Rattus norvegicus: one gene and its partner. The protein of the gene in region 2 interacts with the protein of the main gene of each other region in a pairwise test. Links are inferred from orthologs where the notes say so. Each region holds a gene or a part of one and is shown on either strand. Other genes may lie near its edges.

Evidence for each region.
Region 1: the proteins of Cd63 (region 2) and Timp1 interact in binary tests that used the Homo sapiens proteins (3 or more experiments, as listed by UniProt). The link is inferred for Rattus norvegicus from reciprocal best matches to the Homo sapiens genes CD63 and TIMP1.

The regions. Positions count from the first base shown.
Region 1 is NC_086039.1:3,766,105-3,773,981, forward strand, and holds Timp1 (metalloproteinase inhibitor 1 precursor), read right to left. Parts: upstream 5,019-7,877; 5' UTR 4,995-5,018; intron 4,645-4,994; exon of another isoform or gene 4,603-4,644; intron 4,256-4,602; 5' UTR 4,245-4,255; coding exon 4,124-4,244; intron 2,335-4,123; coding exon 2,255-2,334; intron 2,067-2,254; coding exon 1,940-2,066; intron 1,741-1,939; coding exon 1,616-1,740; intron 672-1,615; coding exon 471-671; 3' UTR 420-470; downstream 1-419. UniProt on the Homo sapiens protein: Metalloproteinase inhibitor that functions by forming one to one complexes with target metalloproteinases, such as collagenases, and irreversibly inactivates them by binding to their catalytic zinc cofactor.
Region 2 is NC_086025.1:1,918,590-1,926,398, reverse strand, and holds Cd63 (CD63 antigen), read right to left. Parts: upstream 4,256-7,809; 5' UTR 4,207-4,255; exon of another isoform or gene 3,766-4,206; coding exon of another isoform or gene 3,755-3,765; coding exon 3,689-3,754; exon of another isoform or gene 2,871-3,688; coding exon 2,682-2,870; exon of another isoform or gene 2,545-2,681; coding exon 2,470-2,544; exon of another isoform or gene 2,379-2,469; coding exon 2,283-2,378; exon of another isoform or gene 2,172-2,282; coding exon 2,031-2,171; exon of another isoform or gene 1,855-2,030; coding exon 1,771-1,854; coding exon of another isoform or gene 1,613-1,770; coding exon 1,547-1,612; 3' UTR 1,464-1,546; downstream 1-1,463. Other genes in the region: Rdh5 (retinol dehydrogenase 5 precursor), read left to right, coding at 33-196, 382-605. UniProt on the Homo sapiens protein: Functions as a cell surface receptor for TIMP1 and plays a role in the activation of cellular signaling cascades. Plays a role in the activation of ITGB1 and integrin signaling, leading to the activation of AKT, FAK/PTK2 and MAP kinases.

The DNA of each region.
Region 1 (7,877 bases), on a different chromosome or scaffold from region 2:
TAGAGGAAATATTCAATAAATTTTAGTGGTGATTTTGCAGGTTCTCAGTGCTAATGCCAATGTTGAGATTCACCAATATATTAAAATTTTTATAAAGCATAAAAACTCAACACCTTTTTTTGTTACTTTGTTCTTCAAGACAGGGGTTCTCTGTGTAGTCCTGGCTGTCCTGAACTTCACAAACTCACTCTGTAGACTAGTCTGGCCTCCCTTCCCCCATTTTTTTTCACTAGAGATTGAACCTAGGGTTTTCTACATGCTAGGCTTGTGCTCTACCACTAAGCTACATTTCTAGCCTCCAAACTGAACATTTAGTATCTTTTCCTCCTTCATTGGTCCCTGGAAGCTCCGAGCAGGTTATCAGTATCTTGAGTTTGTTCCCAGACATTATACAGAAACACTGCTGCTGTGTGATAGTTCTTTATTTCACCATTTAAGAGAAAGAAAGATGGAGGAAAGGTAAACAGTGTTCAGGCTTCAGCTTTTGCCAGGGGAAGGCTTCGGGTCATCGAGACCCCAAGGTATTGCCAGGTGCACAAATCTGGATTCCGTGGCAGGCAGGCAAAGTGATCGCTCTGGTAGCCCTTCTCAGAGCCCATGAGGATCTGATCTGTCCACAAGCAATGACTGTCACTCTCCAGTTTGCAAGGGATGGCTGAACAGGGAAACACCTACAAGAGAGGAGAAAGGCCCATCTCTGAGGACTTCTCTTTCCCTTTGTTCTCTTCCCTGCATAGAGTCTTTCACACACTCTCTCTGGCAACAGGGAGCTGCTGGGAAGGGTTGATGTTGCCCCACTTGTGCTTAGACCCAAGATGTTCTCCCATGTGGGGAACAGAAAGCCAATGTTCTGCAATGGTAGTTATGGAACTGTCACTTGAAGTCACTCAGGCAGACCTCCTGAGGAACTGTCCCACAGGGCAGAGAAGTAATAGTATGGGAACAGTTGGCATGCAGGGAGAGCAAGCATAAGAAAAGGCAGCAGGGTGCTGGAGAGATGGCTCAGTGGTTAAGAGCTGTGACTGTGCTCTTCAATAGGTCCTGAGTTCAATTCCCAGGAACCACATGGTGGCTCACAACCATCTGGAATGGGATCTGATGCCCTATTTCAAGCATCAGAAGACAGCTACAATGGACTCATAGACATTAAATGAATAATATTTTAAAAAAGAAAAAAAAAAGAAAAGGCAACAGAGCTCTCAGACAATGAGGGGTGTGGGGAGTTAGTCAGAGGATATTTGGTGCCACCAGGGAACAGTTTTGAAACAGTCAGATGGCTGACATGTCCAGGTGGATTTGGAGAATAGTACTTTGAATCTTTGCAGATTATGCCTGGGAAGCAAAATCCAATCTAGGGAGGTCAGAAACAGACAGTGGTGTCCCGGAATAGTCACAAAGGAAAGTTAGACAGTGAAGGTTCAGGGAACAGGCAGTCCCAAGATAACAGAACAACCAGAATTTCCAAAAGAGCAGTCCCAGGCTGGAACAATGGCAAGAGAAATCAAAGATAGTGAGTGGGTTTGGGAAGCAGCTTCAATGGCATATAATAGTCAGAGGGAAAAAGAAACCATTCCAAGACTTATCTCCAGGAGGAAAACTGGATCCAGGCACTTACTGTGCACACCCCACAGCCAGCACTATAGGTCTTTACGAAGGCCTTTTGCTGAGCAGGGCTCAGATTATGCCAGGGAACCAGGAAGCTGCAGGCAGTGATGTGCAAATTTCCGTTCCTTAAACGGCCTGTAAGAGAGGCAAGAAACCAACAGGCTTTTGATTGGCTGGGTGGTATCAGAGTGGTCACCTAATTAGCATTAAGTTACAGACCCTCCCACTCCCATTTCAACCAGGCCCTTTCTCATTAGAGCCTAGCTCCTCCCAGTTGCCAGAAAACATCTAAGGATGAAGGAATGTGGCCCAAGGCGAAGGGGCGGAGCCTCACCCGCGATGAGAAACTCCTCGCTGCGGTTCTGGGACTTGTGGACATATCCACAGAGGCTCTCCATGGCTGGGGTGTAGGCGAACCGGAAACCTGTGGCATTTCCCACAGCGTCGAATCCTTTGAGCATCTGCCCATGAGTGACAAAAACTGTATCATTTACTGACATAATCCTCCCACTCCACTCTCTTTCCTGATGGCAATATGTCTAAACACAAGTTTACAGAAAACATCCACACCAACGAAAGGCTAGTTGCTTCTATTTTGAGTGGGAGGAAGAGGTTAGGTAACTGCTATGAGGGGAGGGAGTAGAAATACCTTAGTCATCTTGATCTCATAACGCTGGTATAAGGTGGTCTCGATGATTTCTGGGGAACCCATGAATTTAGCCCTTATAACTAGAGGAAAAGAAGGGGAAAATAAGGATTCAAATGGGCAGGCAGCATGAACCCATAGCAGCAAAACATATACAACATAGTTCAAATAGACAGCACACTTGATGGCTTCCACATCAGTTGATTCATCTAAATATTGTCTATTCTTTTAAGCACTGTTTTAAGCCCTTTTCATATATCCATTTGTTGGCTTACTCAACAAATGTTTTGGAGTGCCTGATGTATGCCAACCACTGTTCAGGGTCTTAGGGAAAGGACAATGACCCAAACACAGGAATCTATTTCCTTATGAAGCTCACATTCAAGTCAGGAGGAAACAGACTAACATTATGTAGCCAGAAATGGTGGCACAGGCCTGTAACCCCAGTTCTGTCAGAGCTTGATGGAGGATCGCTTTAGTATGAGTTCAAGACCAGTCTAGACAATTTAGCGAGAACTTGTTTAAAAATAAAAATTCACAAGAAAAGGGTTGGGTTTGTAGCTCAATTGTGCGGTGTTTGCCTAGGTCCTAGGTTCAATCCCCAGTATGGAGGAGGGAGAAAAGGTATGTGGATTGTTAGAAGCTATTAAGTGTGTTGGGAAATTAGAGAGGAAGTTGACAGATATTCTTTGCTTGACCACAATTTATTCAGGCTCATTAACCTTCTTCCAAGCTCATTAGTGAAGTTTCTCTTTCAAATACAGTTGTAGGGAAGTACCTTAAATTAGCTTAGTGAAAACACCAACCCTCATCTTATTCTCCACAGTATGTGATGGGACCACCAGACAAGTTTTCCTCAAGAGTCCTAAACTAGGTGTGGTGGCACAGACCTAACAATCTCAGCACTTGGAAGGCTGAGTGAGAAGAATCAGGGCTTCAAGACCAGCCTGAGTTATATAGTGAGACCTAGTCTCAAAAACAGAGTGAGCTTAAAGTCTATAGAGATGGCTTAATGGTTAAGAGTACTTGCTGCTCTTTGAGTTCCCAAGTTTGGTTCCTAGAATCTACATAGGGTAGCTAACAACCATCCATAACTCCAGCTCCAAGAGATCTGATGCCTTGGGAACTCCACAGGCACCCATACACCACACATGGAACACACACAAACATACACATAAATAAAATAAATCTTTTTAATGGACTTAGCCTGAATCCTCTTGCCTTTGATATTTCTTTTTGTTTAAGATTTATTTTATGTATATGAGTACACTGTGCTGTCTTCAGACATACCAGAAGAGGGCATCAGATCCCATTATAGATGGTTGGTAGGATTTGAACTCAGGACCTCTGGAAGAGTAGTTGGTGCTCTTAACCACTGAGCCATCTCTCCAGCCCACCTTTGATATTTCTTTTCAGTGATTTCCCATTCATCAACATTAAATTGTTCTTTGGCCATAGAGTTCCATTTGCCTATGCAATGTTGAAAGTTAAGCCCAATATCAATATCTATCTAAAATCAATCTCTCTCTTTCTCTCTCTCTCTCTCTGTAAATTCTGATTATCATAGTTCTAAATGAAGTCTGCCTTTCTGTGTCCTAACAAGGGATCAGAAGTACTATGTGGCTGGTATTAAAATTAAAGAAAGTTGGCAGGCACCTCAGTAAGGTGACTTTTGAGAAAGCCATGCATGTGGATAACTACAGAAAAGCATGTACATGGTACTGGGAGCAGCCAGCACAAAGGTGGGCTTAAGCCCAAGGATGTCAGTGTGGCAAAAGCAGATGTACGGAAGGGTAAGTAGAACTGTCCTAGGGACAACTACTGTAATGATCCCTACTAGACTAAGACAGACAGAAAGAGGGACAGACTCACCCAGGTCCGAGTTGCAGAAAGCTGTCTGTGGGTGGGTTGGGGCACAGCTACAGGCTTTACTGGAAGCTATCAATGATAGCAACAAGAGGATGCCAGAGGCCAGAGATGCAAAGGGCGCCATCGTGGTATCTGCTGGTAAAGACTAGGTGTTAGTAGGTTCCCAAACCAATGGCTTACATGGCCGTTGGCTCTAGGGAGACTCAGGAACTCTTTAGGTTAGAGAACACAGTTGGTGAATAAGGGAGCTGAGAACTTTGAGAATTTAACAGAATTGGGGAAATCTGACATTTGTGTAGTGATGAATTTGGAGTTTGGGAAACTGGAGAAGTATAATGGGGAGTTAGGGCTATTAAAATATAATGGGCTGGGAAGTTCAGAGATATTGGGGGATTTAGAATAGGTTTGTGGTTTTAGGGAGCTGGGGAAAATGGGGGGTTAAGGGTCTTGGGGAATTTGGAGGTTTACAGTAATAGGAATACCTCAGGAATTTGAAGGCAGAGGAATTTTTGAAGTTCCAGGAGCTAGACATGGCAAAGAGAACAGGGGTGTTACAGGAGCCGTAAAGATTGAGGGACAATGAAGAAATTTGGGGGAATTAGCAAGTTAGGAAGTTTTAAAGGCATTAAAGGCTTGTGGGTTTGGGGCACTTTGAGATGAATGCTAAGAGCATGAAAGAGTCTGGAGAGTCCCGCTGGGGACAATCATTCAGGACGCTCTCCCTTTATATTCCCCCTTGGCTAACTAGAGATCCTGATACCTGCAAGCCAAGTTGAATGGTTAGTCTGGCAAGGGACTGGATGGGCCTCGTGGCCGCACCAACACAGGCTCCAAGCAAACCCCAGTTCTGCCAGGACACCCGGCTCCCACTTACCTCTAGCGTGTCTCTAGGAGTCCGGATCAGCAGTGATGGAGGCAGGGACTGGCGGTGGAGAATAAATGTCCATGCGAGGGGTGGGGTTGGCGCGGAAATCACTGCCTCCAGGCTTCCTGGACGCATTACTCATCCACCCACTGCTGAAGTCAAAGCCTAGGGGCGGGCCCCAGGCTGAGCCCAAAGTACTCCCTCTTCTGCCAGCCAGCCCACTGCGCCCCCTTCCCCCAGCTCCGTCATGCACATTCCTTCCTGGCGGCCTTGAAGGGAAGAAGGGAAGAATAAAGACCGCTTAAGCCCCTGAAGCCTTGTGCCTCTCCGGTTTCCCACATTCCCCAAACTTCCTATGGCTGAAGCCAATAATTTCTTTCCCACGCCTTTCATCTACTATGTAACAATCTCACAAGAAGGCCTTTCCTGTGGATCTGAAATTCTGGTGAGGGGTGGCAGAGGAGAGACAAACTAGAAAAACAGTTGAGGGACATGACATGGGAGAAGGGGCACAAATACATAGTGGGGAAATTGATAACACTGAGAGTGTCTATGACTTATCCAGGATGGCAGTTGAGTGTGGCAGAACTGGGAGGGAACTGAGGCTGCATACAGACAGAGCCCAGGTAGTGACTTCTTCCCCAAACTTTGCAGTGGCTGCACATACCAGTGAAGATGTTTGAAGATATCCTTGGCTACAAGAGACCCTTAAGGTCTTAAACAGAAACAAGACCAAACAGGCAAATAGCTGAAGTGAAGAACTTTGTTAGGGTCACAGGACAATAAAGATTTAAACCTAGGCTTCCTGACCTGGAATACTAACTCAAGCAGGGTACAATCTTTGACAAGCAGGGAATGGTGTGGTGAGCGTTGCAAGGGGATGGGGGGAGGGAGGGGGTGAATGATGGTAAAAGCTAGTGAGTCAGTAGAAAAACCACCATCCCTACTCCATCCAGTCTTCCCCTTCCCCCACCAACCAGTCCACACCCCTGGTGGGAGTGGGAATGAGGCAACTGCTGCCCACCAGCTTTCTGATGATGCAGGAATATTCCCTGGGGTCCTGTAGAAGGATTCTATGGGCTGATTACCACCCTCAATTAAGATAGGGAGGACAGACCAATAGTAATGACAATGGTTTTAATCCCAGGGGGCAAGCTGATCCAGAAAATTAGAGGGTATCTAGTCTATACAGTGAGTTCCAGGACAGCCAGAGATACATAGGAAGAACCTGTGACAGAGAGAGACAGAGACAGAGAGAATGTGGTAGTGATGATCACAGCTACTTATTGAGTACTTACTGTATATCATTGCCAAGGTCTTTATGTACAATTTACTTTAGCTAATTACATTTTATTAACTTAGGTAGCTTAGTCCAATAACCACAGGACACAAAAACCTCCTGCCAGCACTCAACAGAGTATTCACTGTGTACAATACACTCTTTTAAAGGGTTTGTATTTTACATTGTGTGTGTGTGTGTGTGTGTGTGTGTGTGTGTGTGTGTGTGTGTGTGTACCTGTACTTATGCCATGGCATGCCTGTATTGTTTAGAGGACAACTTTCAGGGGACAGTCCTCCTTCCCTATGGGTTCTGAGGCTCAAACTTACCATGCCACCAGGCATGGTGGCAGCAAGCACCTTTATCTGCTGGGCCAAATTGCCAGCCCAGGAATTTTGTTTGTTTGTTTGTTTGCTATTGTCCTCCTTGTTCCTTAATGTTACTTAATGAAGAGGTGTTAATAACAACAATAATAGTAACCAATACTTTGAAGATTCAGGTTTACTATATGTGTATACTAAGATTTTCTTTTCTCTGAAGTAATTGACTTATTCTTCCCAATGTATCCGTGAGGTATGATTCATACTTTCACTATTTAGTGAGTAAACAGAGACAGAAAGGAGTCAAATGGCCTGTCCAGGAAGGATAGTGAAGAAATTACTGTAGTGGTGGGAGAAGGTACAAAGAAAAGGAGAAAGGGAAGGAAACCAAAATTTTCAACCATCTGATTGTGAAAGTGAGGAGTGAGAATGTGGATGAGACAGGGGGCTGAGTAAATAAGCGGCGGGAATGAGGAGACGTAAGGACAGGGAAAGTCCTGCCTCGCCTCTTCTATGACTCTGCTTATGACGACAGCTCTGTAACTATGAAACCTGAGTCAGCACAGTTTTGCCAACTGTTTATATTGAGGATTCAGATTACTATACAGGTTTGAAATGGAGTGGGGTGAACATCACAGAGGAGTGTTGGGCCTGTGACTATCTACCAAACTGGATAGGTGTAAGTTTCCCAGAGTGATCTGCTGTCATGTGCAAATACCTGATGATATCCACAGAGTATTACATGTTTGATCTTAATTATTCCCTTTGTACAGATCAGGAAACTGAGACCCAGAAAGACAGTAACTACCTGGGATTTTGTATGGCCTTAGGAAGAAGAAAGGCCAAGATAGTAGGCTACAGCTCCCCAAGAAATCCCATGTAACTACCTTTATGCACATGTGACAGGCACACACTTACATGCACCCACAGTGTTCAAGTTCATGAACAGAGGAAGCAAAGCAGGTTTGTGAAAAGGATCCACAAAGCTCAGCAGATAGGAAAAGGTATTCTTGTATTCTTGTGTATGCACAGCTGTGTGTAGTGTATCTGTGCTTCTGGGGGTGGCATATGTCCCTTGGTGTGCTCCATGTTCCTTCCTGAAAGCCAGGTGTGTGCCTGAGTATGCTGCTTCTGAAAGTGGAAGGTTGTTGTAAGTGTAACTATGCCTGTCTCAAGCTTCTCTGTGTGATAAGTAGATGCCTGAGTGGAAGTTTCTCCCTACACACACACACACACACACACACACACACACACACACACACACACACACACACACATATATGGGCATTGTTT
Region 2 (7,809 bases):
AAAACACAGGAACCTCTCTGCCCACCCTCCAGGCGGGACATGGCTCCATTTGGAGTACAAGTCTCCATTGTGGAGCCTGGCTTCTTCCGAACCCCAGTGACCAACCTGGAGAGTCTGGAGAACACCCTGAAGGCTTGTTGGGCCCGGCTACCTCCAGCTACACAGGCCCACTACGGAGAAGCCTTCCTCACTACTTGTGAGTAGCTGGACCCATATTGGGTGCGTGATGGGAAAAAGAGGGTCAGAAAGGTCAGACCTGGAAGGGAGGAAAAGGGCAGGCAGTCACTTCCTGATCCTGGCAACCAGCCCAAGGATCTAGCATGGGATGGAGGAGAGGCAGTGTGAGCATGAACGCTGACTACGGCATCTTCCAAGCTACAGATCTTCAAGTGCAGCGCCGCATCATGAACCTAATCTGTGACCCAGACCTAACGAAGGTGACAAGCTGCCTGGAGCATGCCCTGACTGCCCGCCATCCCCGAACACGGTACAGCCCAGGCTGGGATGCCAAGCTTCTCTGGCTGCCTGCCTCCTACCTTCCAGCCAGGGTGGTGGATGCTGTGCTCGCCTGGGTCCTTCCCCGGCCTGCCCAGTCAATCTACTGACTCCAGCTTTACAGCAAGAGGCTGGTTTCGGAGGACAAGGCATCTCCTTCTGTCTCTATCCGCGCTGGCTGGCTTCTGACACAAACTAGGCTCTCAGTAAATAAATACGTATATCGCTTTAAATCGAAAAGCAGGCGTACAGAAATGAAGGTGCCCGTGGGGCCTGACAAGACTTGAGTACCTGAGATCCCTAAGCAGCGGAGGAAGCAAACCCACCGGCCTCTTTAATGCCTGCAAAGCTTCTACTGTACACTGGGTGCTGTGAGGAGCTACCTTGCAACTACACATGCTTTTTGGAGCTGCACTTGGAGAGATGGCCACCAGAGGGCACTTTCTCGGCAGAGTAGTAAGAATTGTGTTTGCACCAGGAACACCATTGTCTAATTTTCTTGGGGATAGAAGGGAAAGTGGCGGAAATTGCCGTATTGGGTGGCTTCCATGACAGAAATACCTAAACTCCCCTGTTATCTAAGGCAAAAATCGGGGACACTGCCACACAGGCCTCAAGCAACTTAAACACTCTCCTTGAGGGCTCAGGGAGGACTTCACTGGGCCTCAAAGCAGAGAGTTGTCCAGGCTCTACCCAGGAGGACCTTTGTGGAGCTCCCCTGCGACTCATGCAGGAGCTGTCCTCATGGGTGCTGCGGAAACAGTTTGAAGGCAACACAAACCGAGGGGCACAGGGACACTCAGTCACAACCTCCTCCGGACTCCCCACCTCTTCCACCCTCAAATAAATAATCCTTTTCCCACCCCACCCCCCAAATATGCCTGCCTATTCTCAGGCAGAGGCAGGGAGAAGGAAAAGGAAGGGGCCATCCATCACTCTAAGACAAACTGAGACCATCTCCTTCTCTAGGTCTGAAAAAATAATCCGTTTAATTGAAAACCTGGAGAGTCCACTCCATGAAAAGACAGACGAGCTCAGACACGCCCCCACCCTACATTACTTCGTAGCCACTCCGGATACTCTTCACCAGACAGCAGGAGAAGATAATGCCCAGGACCTGAAAGGAAGGATAGAAATGAGGGTGGGAAGAAGACAGGGCAAGTTTCCCCAAACCCACTCAACAGCCACTGTTCCCAGGCCAGTGAGTGCCTCCTGTTCCCCAGATGCCCTGAGCTGATCCAGGCCCGCCCTCCCACAACCCACAGCATTCCTCACCTCCACAAAAGCAATGCCCAGGGCTGCTCCAGCCACCAGCAGTACGTTCTTCCTCAGCCATGCCGCTATAGTTTCCACGCAGCCCTGAAGAGAAAAGGCGGGCATGACTACTAACAGAAGCGTCTACCTACCTCCTTCCTTCCCTCCCTCGGCCCCTTTCTCCTATCCTCCCAACCCCTATCCCCAACTCTGATCCTGATAGCATCTCCTGCCTCCTGAAACATTCCCCAAGTTTCCCTCGTGTGATGTCTTCTCCCTACCTGGGTATGGATGGTGGATTCCTTGAAATCGTTTCCACAGCCCACAGTGATGTTGATGCAGCAAGAATCGGGGACCCTGTCCTTGGCCATACCGGGGATGCGCTCCCAGTCTGTGTAGTTAGAGGCTCCACAGCATTTATTCTGACGGAGGAGGGATGGGAGGGAAAGTCGCTAAACTGTGGAACCTCCATTCTAATTCAGAGATGAGAATCTTCCATCCCGCCTCACCCTCTTCCCAGCCATCCCACTCACTTCCTTCTGCAATTTGTCCAAAATGGTGGCCGTTTTGTTGTCTGTAAGGTAATTCTGCATCTGCTTCTGGAAGCTCTTACTAAACTCTGACTTCACCTAAGAGTAGAGGAGTGTGTTGTTGAGAACAGACTTCAGGCCCCAGATTCCCAGAGCATCCTGAGACAGGTTCCTCTTGTTCCCTGCTTACCTGGTCTCTAAACACATAGCCAGCAATGGCCACCGCCACCTCCACGAGCATGATAAGAGACAGGAAGATGGCAAACTGCAGGAGGACAGGACAGGAGTTGAGTCTGAAGTCTGGATTTAAAGGGCTTGCTCTGGCCCAGTCAATTCCTTCATCCACCCACCTCACCACAGAATACCTTCTGGTAGTCCCAGGAGTTCCCACACCCCACTCACTGTAATCATGAGACAGTAGTTCTCTTTGCAGGCCCCACAGCAGCCCACAAAGGCCACCAGGAAGAGGAAGGCACCCACTGCAATGATGACCACAGGCAACAGCGAGCCAGCAGTAGTCTCGTGGGTAATGGCCTGCTTCAAGACAACCTGAACTGCTACGCCAATGGCAATCAATCCCACTGCGCAGGCCTGAGGGAAAAGGTGAGGGTTGGGTCAGCTCCTCAGTCCTCAGCCCTCACACCCGACCCCCAGCCAGAAAATGGATTCTTACACCTCCAGGAAACACTGGCTATAGAGAAGGTTCGCCCGTCCTTGCCCCACAAGGAAGGCTGGGAAGTTGTTTGAGACACATAAGGAGAAGGGAATCAGGAGGTGTCATGCCTGCCTCTAAACAGCTCTTCAGCCCAGGACGTGCGTTTTGTTCTATTGACTCCTAGCTCGGGTCTCTCCCAGAACTACTCCCTCACTCCAGTGACTCAGGTCCTAGGGCCAGCCAGGCCGGGGAGGAAGAAGAGGGGGTAAGATGGCCCCTTTCTGAACAAACAACAGTTTCTCCAGGCAGGAGCAAATGAAGGAGGGTTGGAGCCATTCCTTCTCCCAAGTAAATGAGAGGGCTGAGAGAATGGAGATGAATCAACAGGGTGAGGAGTGGAGGCAGCCCCTTGGCGATACCATCAGACCGTTGGCAGGTTGCCCCACCACCCCATATCACAAATGGTTGGGTCACCAGACAGGAAGGGCCAGGAGGGGGTTGGTTAGGGGTGCTCCGCATCTAGGGTGGCAATTCTCGGTCCAAACTTTCCTCAGAGGAAAGCGGCGGGGGGGGGGGGGGCGGGGGAGGGGTGACGGACACGGACACATTCTGCCTTTGGCCTTTTCTCCAGCTTTGCTTCCACATCTGGCCTCCAGCTGCCTTCATTTCTGGGTCCCTCGTTCCTCACGGCTCCCGCTCCAAGACTCACCGGCACCCCGCCCGCGCGCCCCGTCGCCCTCCCCGCACTACTCACGCAAAAGGCCAGTAGGAGAACGTAGAGCAAAAACTTGACACACTTCATTCCTCCTTCCACCGCCATGGCTGCTGGGCCTGGGGCCGCAAGAGAGCGCAAGGATTAGAGCAGGCCGAGGGGCCGCCGGATCCGCAGCTCCCCGCCGGCCTTCGCAGCCTTCCCTGCGCGGCCCCCATCGGGGCCCTCCCACCCAGAAACCCGCAGTCAGATCCACGTCTCCGCGCCCTCCCTGCCCTCCCGCTCCGCGGCCGGACTGGGGTGGGGGCGCGCACCAGGGAATGGTGCCTCGGGATCCCGGGACGCACGGAGGGCGCAGCCGGACTCCGGGTGGACCCCCGCCGGTCGCCGCCCAGCGCGGAATCCCGACCCCTACAGGCCGCGATCCAGGACACTCGCCAGCCCCCCGGGCGCGAGCCTCCCTTCGAGGGCCGCACGGGTGGCGCCCCGCGAACTTCGAGGCAAAGTTGTCCCCACGGGCGTCCCCGGAGTCCCCGGGCCCGCGTTAACCCGGGCCTCACCTGCGCTCCCCGACGCTTCTTGATGCTCTCCTACCGCGGCTCAGCAGCCGTCTCCTGTGCCCCCTGCCCGCGCCCCGCCTGCCGCACGGCCCCGCCCCGGCTCCGGCCGCCCCCACCCCCGCAGGGTGGCCGCCTTCCTCCCTCCCTCCCTCCCTCTCTCATGTGACGCGGGAACAGCTGCGGCCTGAGTCACCCGGGCTAGCAGGGGAGGTGAGCCCCCCGCCTGGACAGGCCACGTGGCCGCTGCCCGGAAGCCTCGAGCCAGGAGCCGGACCTCAGGGTTCCCGGAGCCCTCTCCAACCCAGCACCGTCTGGTTCTCTCTGGTTCGGGAGTAGGCGAGTCCGGAGCCCAGAGGACGCAGGGCGGCCGGGAGTTGCCCAAAGACAGAACTGAGGCAAAGTGTCAAAATGCTCTTCTGCAGACCTCAACCCACAGAGAACCAACCACGCACCTCCCTCTCCGTCCTTGTTCAAGCCCCTGCCCCCAATCCCCGAGCCCGCAGAAGGTGTGGGTTGGGTGGCATTGGGTGAAGTCAGAATAAACACTTTCAGAAAGCCCCTAGCTTCACGTCTTAGGAGTCTCCCAACGTTCTGGACTAGGGTTTTATGACCCCAGCTTCTCTATTTTCTAGAACTCCTGAGCTGAGAAAACCGGAGGGAGGAAGCCCTTGTCTAGAACCGTTTCATGCGTCAATTATAACACGTCAGAGCCTGGGCCCTCCTTCTGGGGAAAGATTAACAAAGCCTTAGTTCCCTTGCTCCTGGATTAACCAGTGGTTAGTGGAGATGCGAGAAAAGACGCTAATGCTGGCAAGGCAATAACATGGACTTCCTCGCCTTATTCCTCTTTTCATCAGAGATGGCAAAACCAGGTAAAGGCAGTGGCTAGAAATACCTCCCTCCCTTGTGCCGCTGGTGGTTCGCAGAAGGAACTGTTGTTAAAAAAAAAATTCTCATAAGACTAGCGTTAACACTCCTAGCCTGAACTTTGTCCTTTTCGCAGCAGCTCCTTCTGCCTCGAGTTGCTTACTGAACTGAAAGGAAAGGAGTGTACACAAAGAAGCCATAGGAACAAAAGCCAGCTGGTGGTGCGCAGGTAATCCCAGTACGCTGGTATCTTTTTTGGTTGTTTGTTTGTTTGTTTGTTTGTTTGTTTGTTTTTTGAGAAAGGGCTTTATGTGTAGCCCCGGCTGTCCTGGGACTCTATCTGTAGATCAGGCTGGCCTCAAACTCAGAAATCTGCCTGCCTCAGCCTCCAGAGACTAACGGCCATTAACACCACTCCCGACACAAGAGAATCAGAAATTCAAAGCCATTCTGGACAGTTTAGTGAGACAACACACACACACACACACACACACACACACACATACACACACACACACACACACACCTATCTCCCTATCTCTTTGGAATCAGGGTCTTATGTAGTCCAGGCTGGCCTGAAACTCCCTGTGTATCGGAGGCTGACCTTGAACTGATGATCATCCTGCCTCCACAAGTGCTGGCATCACCGGTGTGCACAAGCACATCTGGTTCATGCAGTTCTGGCATCAAACCCAGGATTCCGTGCCTACTAGGCAAGCGCTCTACCAAGCTGTATACCCTGTGCTAGTGAAACTATAGTTCAAAATGACAACTAGAAATGCATGCAGCTCTGTGGTAGAGCATCCAGCATGAACAGGGACCCAGCTCAGTTCCCAGACTACAAAGAAGTCTAGGCACAGTGGTGAGGCCTGTTGTTCCCAGCACTATGGATGTGAAGGCAGGATGGCAAGGTTACAGGCCATCCTGGACTACACAACGACACCTTGTCTCAACCCAAACAAAACAACAAAATCAGTGGGTAACACCTGTAATTCTAGCACTTGGAGACTAAAGCAGGAGGGGTCACTTAGTCATTTCAAGTTCAAGGCCAGCCTGGGCTACAAAGTGACACCCTATCTCAAAATCAATCAATCAATCAATCTATCTATCCGAGCTGAGGATGTAGCTCAGTTGGTAAAGTGTTTGCTTACTATGCAGACATACTTGTATTTTTAGCACCTCGTAAACCAGGCACTACAACTCCTGAACTCATGATGTAGAGGCATACGTCTTAAGGATTCAAGATCATCCTTGGCTACCAAAGGAGTTTGAGGCTAATCTAAGGAATGAGTCCTTGTCTCCAAATATGAGTAAATAATCAAATAATAAATCAGTACCAAATGAATGAAGAACCTTGGCCTGATGGCATCTGTTTATTTCTGTACTCAGGCTAAGCAGAATGATCATGACTTCACAGGCCAGTCTGGGCTACACACTAGGACCCTGTCTCAAAAGGAGGAGGGAGAGGAAGAGGGAGAGGAAGAGGAGGAGGCAGAGGAGGGAGAGGAGAAGGAAGAGGAGGAGGGAGAGGAGGAGAAGAAAGGGCTGGAGAGATAGATGGCTCAGTTGTTTAGAACACTTGCTCTTACAGAGGACCTGACTTCAATTCCCAGAATACATATGTGGCCTATAACCTCTGTAACTCAGTTCCAGTGGATATGGTGCCATTTTCTGCCTTCTCAGACATTAGACAGACGTATAGTACACATATATACATGCAGGCAAAACACACACACACACACACACACACACACACACACACACAGTCTTAAAATTACGTATCCTAGGGGCTGGAAAGATCATTCAGTAGGTAAAAGCACTTGCACAAACATAAGGACTTGAGTTCTGATCCAAGCACCCACACACACAAAAAAAATCAGGTGTGTGGGTGGTAGGATACCCAGGGGGGTCCCCACCCTCTCAGAGAAGGGGAGAGGGGATAGGGCAAGGATTGTGGGAGGGGTGACCAGGAGGGGGCCAGTGAGCAGGATGTAAAGTGATTAAGCAAAAAAATAAAATTGTGGTGGGGAACATCCTCTCAGAGATGGGGGGTGGGGGGGAGGAATGGGATGAGGAACTGCGGGACTGGGGACAGGGAGGGGGGCAATGGCTGGATTGTAAAAAAAAAAGAAAGAAAGAAAAGTAATTCAAATAAATATTCCAAAATACAAAACAGCAAAAAAAAAATAAATTAAATTAAATTAAATTTTAAAAAACCAGGTATATCTCCACAAGCGTCCCGCACCGTTAAGAGACAGAACCACGGGGACTTGCTGGCCTCAGTCTAGCTCCAAGTTCAGTCTCAAGGGAACAAGGTAAAAAAATGATAAAGCCGGCCACCTAACATCCTCCCCTAACCTCACACACATAGACAAACATCACACACCCAGAGAGAGGTAAGTGCATGAAAACGGACGGAGCCCGAGGTCGCTGTGGTCATAGAGACAGACATCACATGTTTTCTCTCACATGGGGACTCTGGAACGGCCTTTTAGAAGGACATGAAAGTAAACAGAGAATTATTTTTAGCGATGTGGGAGGGGAGAGAGCAGGGGATGAATAAGAGAAGGAATAACGGGGTAAATATTCACGTATGGAAACGTCATGTGATATCCTCTGCCAAGGAAACGGGACAGCTCAAGCCCGGTTTATGGGGGCAGCTCTTGGGTGAGTTCACTGACCACACCGGAAGGAGAGACGGAGGAGAAGGGGAAGAAAACGCAAAACGCAAACGGA